Linked DNA regions of Saccharomyces cerevisiae S288C. The protein of the gene in region 2 interacts with the protein of the main gene of each other region in a pairwise test. Each region holds a gene or a part of one and is shown on either strand. Other genes may lie near its edges.

The links. Proteins that work in one complex are often made in the same cells at the same time.
Region 1: the proteins of YIL108W (region 2) and PIN3 interact in binary tests that used the Saccharomyces cerevisiae proteins (3 or more experiments, as listed by UniProt).

Annotation. Positions count from the first base shown.
Region 1 is NC_001148.4:832,758-836,632, reverse strand, and holds PIN3 (Pin3p), read right to left. Parts: upstream 2,069-3,875; coding exon 1,421-2,068; downstream 1-1,420. Other genes in the region: NCA2 (Nca2p), read left to right, coding at 1-1,070; MAY24 (May24p), read right to left, coding at 2,388-2,805, 2,940-2,944; URN1 (Urn1p), read left to right, coding at 3,175-3,875.
Region 2 is NC_001141.2:158,088-164,517, forward strand, and holds YIL108W (putative metalloendopeptidase), read left to right. Parts: upstream 1-2,799; coding exon 2,800-4,890; downstream 4,891-6,430. Other genes in the region: COPII subunit SEC24, read right to left, coding at 1-2,078; PFK26 (6-phosphofructo-2-kinase), read right to left, coding at 5,191-6,430.

The sequences.
Region 1 (3,875 bases), on a different chromosome or scaffold from region 2:
AAAATGGTATGTTCACCGAAGTACATTTACCGAACTACGAAAGACGTCTAAAATCTTTACAGGACTTCTTTGGATTAGCCATGTCTGATTCGAATTTACTAGATGTGATCCGATGCTCAGCGAAATTTCATAAAGATCATCCTTTAAGAAGGTTCACTAAACCAAGTATATTGACTAGATACTGGCCTTCAATTTTGTTGTGTCTTTTATATGGACCATCTTCTGTTATGTCGTTGTGGAATTCCCGGTATTTTATTCAAGATTTCATTAAGACCAATGTCGTTGACTTTGCGAAAGGGCTGATCTTGAACTGGTTATGGGCACCCCTGAAACAGGTTTGGTCTACTGTTAAGCATGACGAGGGAAGCGCCATTTCAGTGACATCACAGGAGACATTAAACTCTGACATGGATTCTCTTACCAGAATGATTGTTAGTTTTGTTGTGGATAATAGTGATTCGACGTCTAACAGCCCCATAGACCCTATTCTATTGAGTACTAAAGTCGAACATGGTGATTTGACCGAATTTATGGAAATATATGAAACACAACTACATCATCCGATAAAGAATATAGCTACGGGTGGATTAGTCAGGTCTTTATTGATTCAACTGCAAAAAACAAAAGTCGATGGATCTATGGCATTGAATGGCATTGATAAAATGCTGAAATCGCAACAGTTGGTGTTTGGAGTTGTAGCATTATCTCCGGCTTTAGTGATACTATATTCTTCTATAGTGGCGTTAAAAAGATTTGTCAAACTAGGCAATGTCTGGTCTAATGAAAAACGGTATAGGGAGCAAATAAGTATAAGTTTGAATAATGTGGAAAGAGTTTTGAATTATTCTAAACAAGGTGCGGACGCCGATGAGGAACACTTAAACCAGGGTCTACTAGTGATTGAGGTTTCTAACTTATACAAATTGGGAAGTTTTTTGATCCCGCGTTCAAGAAAGAAAGAATGGTTTAGGGACGTTGAGGAACTGGTGGATACCAATCTTGACTCCGGAGCTCATATAAATGTCGTCAACAGGATATACCACGTATATGGCAGGTTTTTAATCCATTAGCGTATAGCCTGCTGGGGAAGAAGAAAGGGAAGATATTGAATATATTCTTAATGTATTTTTTGTACAGACGTAAATATAAAGAAATCAACGCAAAATCGACGCCTTTTTACTTTTTATACTTTTTTACTAAAAAGACAGATTTTCTCGCTCATATCATAAGTGATGTACTATTATCCTCCATATACGATATATCTGTTTAAAAAAAAAGAAAAAAAAAGGTTACTTAAATTCATACTCATTAGAAAAAAATTCTAGGGATAACAACACCAAAGGTAGAACTTCGTTCAATTTATGAAAGGTTTGGCCATAATGGAGAACAAATGAATGAAGTATATAAAGAGAAAAACGACTTAAAAGATATTATTAACAATATCTGACCCAATACTAGCGCCTGCCCCAAAAATGGCGGCATTACCCAATTTGCTACCAAAGCTCTTCAAGTGGCTATGTGAGCTCTGATGTTGTTGTTGTTGTTGTTGTTGTTGGGGAGGAGGAGCTTGTTGCGGCTGTTGTTGAGGCTGCTGATAATAATTTGTGGAAGGTGGAGGAAATGGCTGCTGTTGATAAGATGATGCGGCACTATTTTGCGTGGGGATTTGTTGTAATTCTTGAGCTTTATACTGTGGAGGTGGTGGAAGATTGGATGGACCGTTAGACCCAGAGAAAGCTGGCTTGACATAGTTTGCTGGGAAAATACCGGTACGGCCATTACAGCTACCCTTGTACCACTCTGGAGATAATTTTTCTAAAAGTTGGACCTTGTCACCTGGTTTTAAGCCCAAATCACCATCTTGTTGAGGATCAAATTGATAAAGAGCTTCGACATATTCCAAGGAAGCTGGACTGGCGTTGCGGGGTGCATTGGCAGGATCCCATTTTGCCGGCAAGCTCTTATTTATTTGATCGTAAACGTCATTTGAAATGACATTTGACCCTTTTAGAAAATCCAGTTCTGTCCTAATGTTTGTTAAGGAACGATTAATCAATGAAGCAGACATTTTTGAAATATCAGATTGCCTTCTTTCCTAATGTTCTTGTGTTTGCGCCAATGTGGGCACTTTGCCTATTGTCTCAACCGATTTGAGGTTCGACTATATATGCAGCTTACAATATCCATCCCCGCCTCGAAGGAGGCTCGGTTAATCACGCTGCACGAACGAAAACAATAGTTAAAGAAACGTTTAGAACAATCTAGCGCTTTGAAGAAAGAGTATTAGGCTCTTTACGTGAAGGATGGCACATTCTCATTCAAAAGTTGCTGCTAACTTTTATCATCAAATCAGTAAACCCCTTCTTGTTTTTTCTTGACAGAAGCTTTCACATAACGGAACCAACCATGGAATAACTTAGCACCACATCGAAAAGGATTTGGACTACTGCGCAACAAAGTGGGACCCATGTAGACATAGAAAATAAACCAGATCTATAGATCGCACCTATTAAAAACCCCATAACTGTACCAGTCGTCAAGCCTTGAACGCCTCCGTATAAGACGTACATGACGAATATCCATACACTTCCAGCCTTCTTTCTATGGGTCAAGCTAGCATACACACCAGCAGTAACGTAAAATGCACCATTAAAGATCAAAGTCCAGTACAGCGAAAATTTCCAAATGTCAGATATATAGTATAAGAATGCAGTATTATACTTCGAGTTGTTGATGGGCCAGTATAATGAGGGGAATTTTGGCGTTACATATCCAACAGGTATATCGTTATTTGTTACGAATGATCTGAGCACAGGGAACATGCGACAGAGTAGTGGATGTTTTTATTGTTAGTTTTGTGCCTATTATTTTCTTAAGCCACAGGGAGCGATGCCTGCATCCAGCCGTGGCGGATATAGTCTTGGTAATGAATAACATACCTCATAATACGGCAGGAAGTTGGAACTGATCTTGTTGGCAGTTTTTATCTTATACAGAAGCGTCAAGAGTAGGAAAAGGTTTTATTATTGCATATTTATCAACTTTCAGTATGTTTCTTTTTTTCTTCGGCAATGAAAGAGAAAACAATATAATTGAAGAAAGAGGAAATAGTGTCCGAAAGAGATTCTGATATGTATTATAAAGAGAAAGACAGTTCAGTAACACAGAATCGCCATGCGTGGAGAATGGCAGGAATTTAAGACACCTGCAGGCAAAAAGTATTACTATAATAAGAACACGAAGCAGTCTCGATGGGAAAAACCTAATTTGAAGAAAGGCTCTAACCTAGAAAGCAATGCGAAAGAATCACAGACAGAGAGGAAGCCAACATTTTCATTAGAACTGGTTAATGGTTGGCACTTAATAATATACAACGATGGTACAAAACTTTACTTTAATGATGACTCTAAGGAGTTCAAAAATGACATCAGTCAAGAGGACGACAGCAGGTGTCGCTCATTAATCGAGTCGTTAGATAAGGAAAAACTGGTTCTTCTGATTGGCGTTGCCAGAGGTTACACTATGCGGGAGGAGGACATTGATAAAATCCTCGAATCTTGCAACGAAGAGATTCATCTATTTAAAAGAAATCAAGACGAAGTTGAGAGAAAAGATGAGATCAGCGAAGAGGCGGGTGACGTAAAATCCCCTTTACAGGAAAGCCACACTGGGCTAGTCAGCGGGTATGGTTCATCTTCGGGGGAGGAAGACGAAGAGGAAGACGAAGAGGAAGACGAAGAGAATGAAGAACAAATTGTAAATCAAGATATCAGCATTATCGATGATCTGAATCGTATTGATACAGATGACATTGACGAGCGTAATATCTTCTTCGAATTATTCGATAGGTATAAACTAGACAAGTTTTCCACGTG
Region 2 (6,430 bases):
GACACCACTATTTCCTTCTTGTACGTGGCTAAGATATCTTGCACGGATTTGTTGATCAATACTCTTGCATCGTCCAAACTGGAATTCAATGCTTTCTCCACCGCCTTCGAGTTGTAAAACGACGCTATAGCTAATTGGTCAGCAGATGCGTAGACTTCTGCCAACGATTCCGTGGTTGGCATAGCCAATGTTATAATTCTTATTCTACGTTGACTATTATTCAGAGATAAAAGTACCGCTACTTGAACATAACAATAGTCAGCCATAATGGATTCATCAACGTTAACTTCGAATAAGTATGATTGATCTCTTGGCATGGTGGAAAATGCACATAAATCAGATGATCTATTGAAGAAGTGACCATAGAATCTACTCATTCTCAAACCTGTGGAACCACGGGCTCTCATTACGGTTTCCATACAGAAATCCATGGAAATGTGCTTGGCAAACTCAGTGGAAAATTTGACAATATCATTTGGGTTCTTGCCTGAAAAACCAGGATAGAAATGCGTTTGACCAGCAGTGAAACGACTCAAATTCGATAGTGATGCAACGTCCATATAATCTTCAGAAGCCAAAAATAAATCGACAGTAATCTGTACTTTAGAACAATCGATGGTGAAATTCTTATAAAATGAGTCTTGACAGGAAAGTAGTTGTGCAGTTTCCTTGGATGTATTAACAACACCACTTTCATTTCTCCTTTGTAATTTTCCTATGCCTAAGTTGGGCAAAGTACCTGACACAACAATTATTTTACCACCAACGCCACCAATTAAATGATAAGCGGATTTCAAAGCGGGGCCCAGTGCGAAATTTGTGATTAAATTAGATTGGAAGATTTGAGGAATCTTGGTCAATAAAGTTTCAATGTTTTGTCTGCAGGCCTTTAAGGACACAACCATAGAGTTTGGTCTGGGCAAGAAAGGCTCTTCCAGGTCGGCAATATCCATCATGTTGATTTGATCGGCGGACTCTTCATTGTTTTCAGAATCCAATGGGATTTTAAAGTAGTGAATGGCGTTGTCTACACATAAGATGGAAATTCTGGTTCTTTCATCATGGTTTGGAATGGAATCAAGATTTTGCAAAAGGGTGTTGATGGTAGTGGCCAGTAACCCACTCTTGATAGAGGACTGGGAGACATCGATCAGGAAACAGTAAGTGGCTGGAGGTGGTTGTCTTAGAGTATATTCCTTTGGGGCCATATATTCCATCACAGCACATTTGATTTCATTTCTGTCGTATCTACTCTTTGGGTCGTTTGGATCGCTCTGGTCCATTTGCATAGGAACGTCATTGGCCAGACGACAAAAGTTACATCTCCATCTTCTGCCTTGCTCGATAAAAGTGACAAAAGGGTTCATGTAAGAACGACAACGACGACAACGGACAATAAGTCCATCTTCATTCAATGGAGGCGGGTCGATATCGTCGTACAAGTGTTGGTATGGTCTGATAACAAGCCCAAATGGAAGTTTAGACTTCTTCAGCAGGGAGCTGTTCTTAGGAACGGCGTTCAAGGTCGACCTGATATAATCTGGAGACGCATTGGACAATTCAGAAGGAACTAACATCCTTTCTGGAGGAATAACCAACGGTGGGGGAGGCAAGGTCAGATCGGTAATTGGAGGAGGCAATTCCGTCAACAGATCGATTGGATACAACTGGTTCATGGGCCTCATGTTTTGGCCCATTGCGGCGCTAGGTTGGCCATACGCAGGCGCTGCCATTGGTTGTTGCTGTTGCTGCAAAGGTGTGCCCATTTGCACGGGAACCTGTGGCTGCATATAAGCGTTAGGATCGACTAGCGGTACGTTGTGCAGATGCATATCGTTCATGGAAGTGGTGGCCTGATCAATTTGCTGGTGTAACTGTTCTTGAGCAGGGGTTAGGAATTGTTGCTGCCCCATGGAAGGGACTGCACCCTGTGGCGGCATTCCCATCTGACCATAGCTCATTCCAGCTGCAGCAGGATCCTGCGGAGGCATGAATTGTGCTGGCTGTTGTAGAGGGGTGGCATTTTGTCCATACTGGAGCTGAGCTTGTGGGTAAACACGTTTCTTGTGATGAGACATTTTGCAGATGGTCTCAGACTTATATATTTATGTCTGTTTCAATGCGGCAAAAATGGACCTGAGTGCCAGATAAAACCTTTTTGTAGTGCTATTTTTGGCCTGTTTCCTGATGTACCATCCTCCTTACATAGTTTTGTTTTTCTTCGTTTTCGTTCTTCCAGTTTTCATTTTCTTCTGCCGTAAATGGAAAAAACAAGAAAAAAAAAAAGAGAACAGCTAAGCGTTAACAAATCTGCTCCAGTGGCCATGTCCAAGACTGTTTTTCAAGCCCAGATAGTGCCTGAATAGACTGCATTAAGCTGAAAAACTTATAGCAGTGGTTAGTGCAAAATGCACACTTGTCAGTGCTATGTATATTTGTGACACGATTCTATCACCCAAACATAGCACTAATTACTTTTTTGTTACCCGGCATTCTAGGCGGAAATTTGCTGAAATTTTCCATCAATTAATTACGTAACCTATTCTTTTAAGAGCATGATGTTGTATATAAATATAGATCACCTTAGGAACAGTCAGGCTTTCTTAGGTTTCAGAAGTTCATGTGTCTTGGCGCAGTCAATTCTCTCGATCTTTTTTTGGTTTGGACGTTTAAGAGTAGCGGTCGCCGGAAAATAGAGAGAAAAAGGAAATTTAAAAGGAGTTCTTCTTTCTTCTTATTATTAGATCGTATACAGTAAAAAAAAAAAAAGGAAGTAGTAGTTCGAAGAGAAAGAAATAAATGGTAGGCTCGAAGGATATTGATCTATTCAACCTGAGAGAGAACGAGCAAATCGTTTCTCCTTGTCTTATCGTGCACGGAAAATGCAATAAGCAAAATGGTGCGAAGACCGTTCAAGTGCAGCATCCACAATTGCCTCCAATTACTTACCCCATACATAATCAGTTCTTCAAGGCCACTGTGATATTGACTCCTGGTGAGAACAAGTTGACCTTTGTTACAGACACTAACACCGCTAGGACAATCGTATGTTACTACACACCACTGACGCAGAACCCTCCCGTACACCTGTGTCTGATCTTGGCCAAGGATTCGCCTTTACAGTTTGACTCTCCTCGAGAACAGAAGGACAGAGAGGGCGGGAATGGCCTCGAATTGGCAATCAAGAAGCTAAGACTTGGGGCCAGACTCATGCAAGCGTACACGAACGAGCAAATGCTGAGAAACAGTATGGGAAATAGGACGTTTCCCTTTGTTGAAGAATTTACCTGGGACACGCTGTTCGAACGGCCTGCTATGAGAAACACCATCAAAATACATGTAGTTCGTTCGGAAAAGACGGTGAAGGAAATCCAGGACCCTGACATAGCTCAACAGAATTCCAAAGGGAAAAACACCGGCGCCCTTTTTGGGATAGCCATGGACGCCCTTAAAAGTTACGGCGGACCCTTCACCAATAACGAAAAGCCTGTTCAGGCAGCTTGTATGTTTCTAGACACCCACTGGGATGGTAAGTTGATTAGAGGCCACGCCGCATTGGGTGGGGGTGACGACAGCATTAAGCTCGCCATTTTTGGGTCGCACGGGCTTTACTCATGGCCTACTTGTCTCGAGCAATTGGTGCCTTATTTTACTGATGAGACAAGATCCTCCACCAGTGAAGTCGCCAACGACTGTAATGAGTGTGGTACTTACTGGGAATGTTTGACTATCACGTTGGGAGCATTTATGCATGAGATTGGTCACTTACTGGGTTGTCCTCATCAGGAAAGCGGTGTTATGCTAAGAGGCTATACCACTTTGAATAGGTCTTTCTTGACTAAAGAGGCTTATTCTGTAAGAACTAATTCAACTGGTGCTAGTCCTCCCATCTTCCCCAAGGAAGAATGTACCTGGAACCGTCTCGATACGGTAAGATTTTTGTACCACCCCTCTTTCACTTTACCACAGGATTATTACGATCCATCGTTCATGAGACCTACAAAATTGGGCGGATACCCCAATATAAAACACTCTGTATATCCTTTGGGTAACGGCAGTTGCCGCATATTATCGCCCACAGGAATCTATTTGATTGAAATTATATGTGATGATTTGGCCAGGGGCCATATTGAATACTTGCCGGTTTCCCTAGGTGGACAGGGGCCTCAACGGGAAGTTATAGTAACATTAGATGATTTACGTGCCAGGTTGCCCAAGAATGAACTCGCCAAGTTTGGCAATACCTTCAAATTGAAAATTCTTTCTGTTAATGCACCGGAAACCGAGTTCGACAAGTTCCCATCTTTGTTAGATGTTCAGCCATTAGACATGTCGAAATATGGGTTTTCTAAAAATGTTCAAGGTATCAAATCACCACTTTATGGTCGCAGCGACGGTGGTAATGCTGTCGGCGTCGTCGCTTTTGATGTTAGATTAGTCACTGCTGTGAGAATATACCATGGCTATGCATTAGATGGTGTGAGGTTTTATTACAAGGAAAAACCAACTGGAACAAAGGATGCTCCCGCATCCAAGCCCTCTGTACCACCAAGAAATTATTTCTCAAAAATTACACATAGTATCAAAAATCATGCTTCAATAAACGAAGAAAATCTAAAAAGTGTACTCTTTGGACATGAAACACAAAATTTTACGGATGCTACACTAGAACCGGGTGAAATAATCATTGGGTTTAATCTGAGGTGCGGAGCTTGGGTTGATGCTATCCAAATTATAACGAGTCATGGGAGAATGACCGACATGTTTGGTAACAAAGACGGAGGTGGGTTCGCTGAATTGCAGCCACCTAATGGCCAATATATCCTAGGTGTGACTGGCAGAGTCGGTCAATGGGTCGACGCCTTCGGAATTATTTACGGAGCTTTATAGTAATTAGTCAAGGTTTTTTTTTTCTTATTTTTTTCTATTTCATAACTTAGTCATATCAAAATATATCTATTAAATTATTTTCCATATATACGTAGATATTCTTCATTTGCATAATTCTTTGGGAAAAAGGAAAACAGTTATAGAAAAATATAAACAAAAAACCGCAACACTTCATGATTGCGTCGAACAATATACCTTAAAGAAGAAAAAAAAAGGTTGGTTTTATCACTTCATTAGTCTATTTGAATAATTCATAAAATATTTCTGATTTTTTTTTTTTTTTTTTTTTTTCATATTATTTTAAACGTGACTTTGGCTGCGATTCATGGTTTTTGCCCTTATATCTTCGTTGTCATTATTATCAGCATTATTAGGATAATCCTTTCCATGTAATAGAAAACTTTTATTTTTCAACATGGATAACTTTTCGTCCACTTTATCTATTTCAAAAATTTGCCTTGGTGTAGCCGCTGACTTCTTTACATTAGGTACATTAGAAGCCGCTTTATTGTTGTTAGCCAAAAGAGGATTCACGTTGTTTTGATTTGGAACAACCCTGGGACGATGTATCGAAATTGAGGTACCTCCACCATCTAAGATGTTATTAGAAGTATTAGTGGCCATAAGTGGTGCAGATAATGGTATTCTCGAATCACCATTTTCATTCTTGATGTTAAAGTTGCTCCCAATGAGAGTGGTATTATTGCTGCCAGTTTGAGCACTAACGCTATTCTTGGGTTGTTCTGATAATTCACTCTGGGATGAAGATGCAGAAGTAGGATTAGATCTTTTTCTTGACAAAAAGTCACTTGCAAAGCTGCTTCTTGCACTTGGCGGAGCTGTTGGTATAACAGAATATCTTCTTTCATTATAAACAAGGCCAACCTCCTTTACTCTGGTGGTATTCAAGTCCGTTTGTGGGACCTTAGAAAATGAATCCGATGCTTCATCATACTCCCATAATGACCAAGTGATTCCATATGGTTTTGGTTCTAGGCAATATACACAATGTAATGGGACATCCAAATTGGCAATAATACCCATACTCAAGTTCATAAAATAACCCAATAAGGCTCTTGCCACCACCCGGTGTGTAATAATAAGAACGTTATCCTCGATTCTTTCTAGTTCTGTGATAACAGGTCTGAGTCTATTAATAACGTCCATATACGATTCACCGCCAATACCAGGGTATCTGTATCTCAACTTATCTTTCTGTCTTTTTTCGAATTCTTCAGGAAAGTTGTTTTTAATTTCTGGATATGTCATACCATCATAATCACCTGCACTTAACTCATCTAACATTTTCATTTGTTTGATAGGATAATCATCTTCGTTGAAATATTGAGCAGTCCCTATAGTCCTAGCACGCATGCTGGTCCAAACGAAAAAGTCATTATAAATGTTCCCATCTGTATTTTCATTATTCTTTTTTTGTTGCATGAGATTTTGATAAAATATTTCTCTCTGTCTGGCAATGAATTTTGGTAGACTTTTAGCAAATCTTAGACCACGAGGAGTCAAATGGGAATTTCCGCCT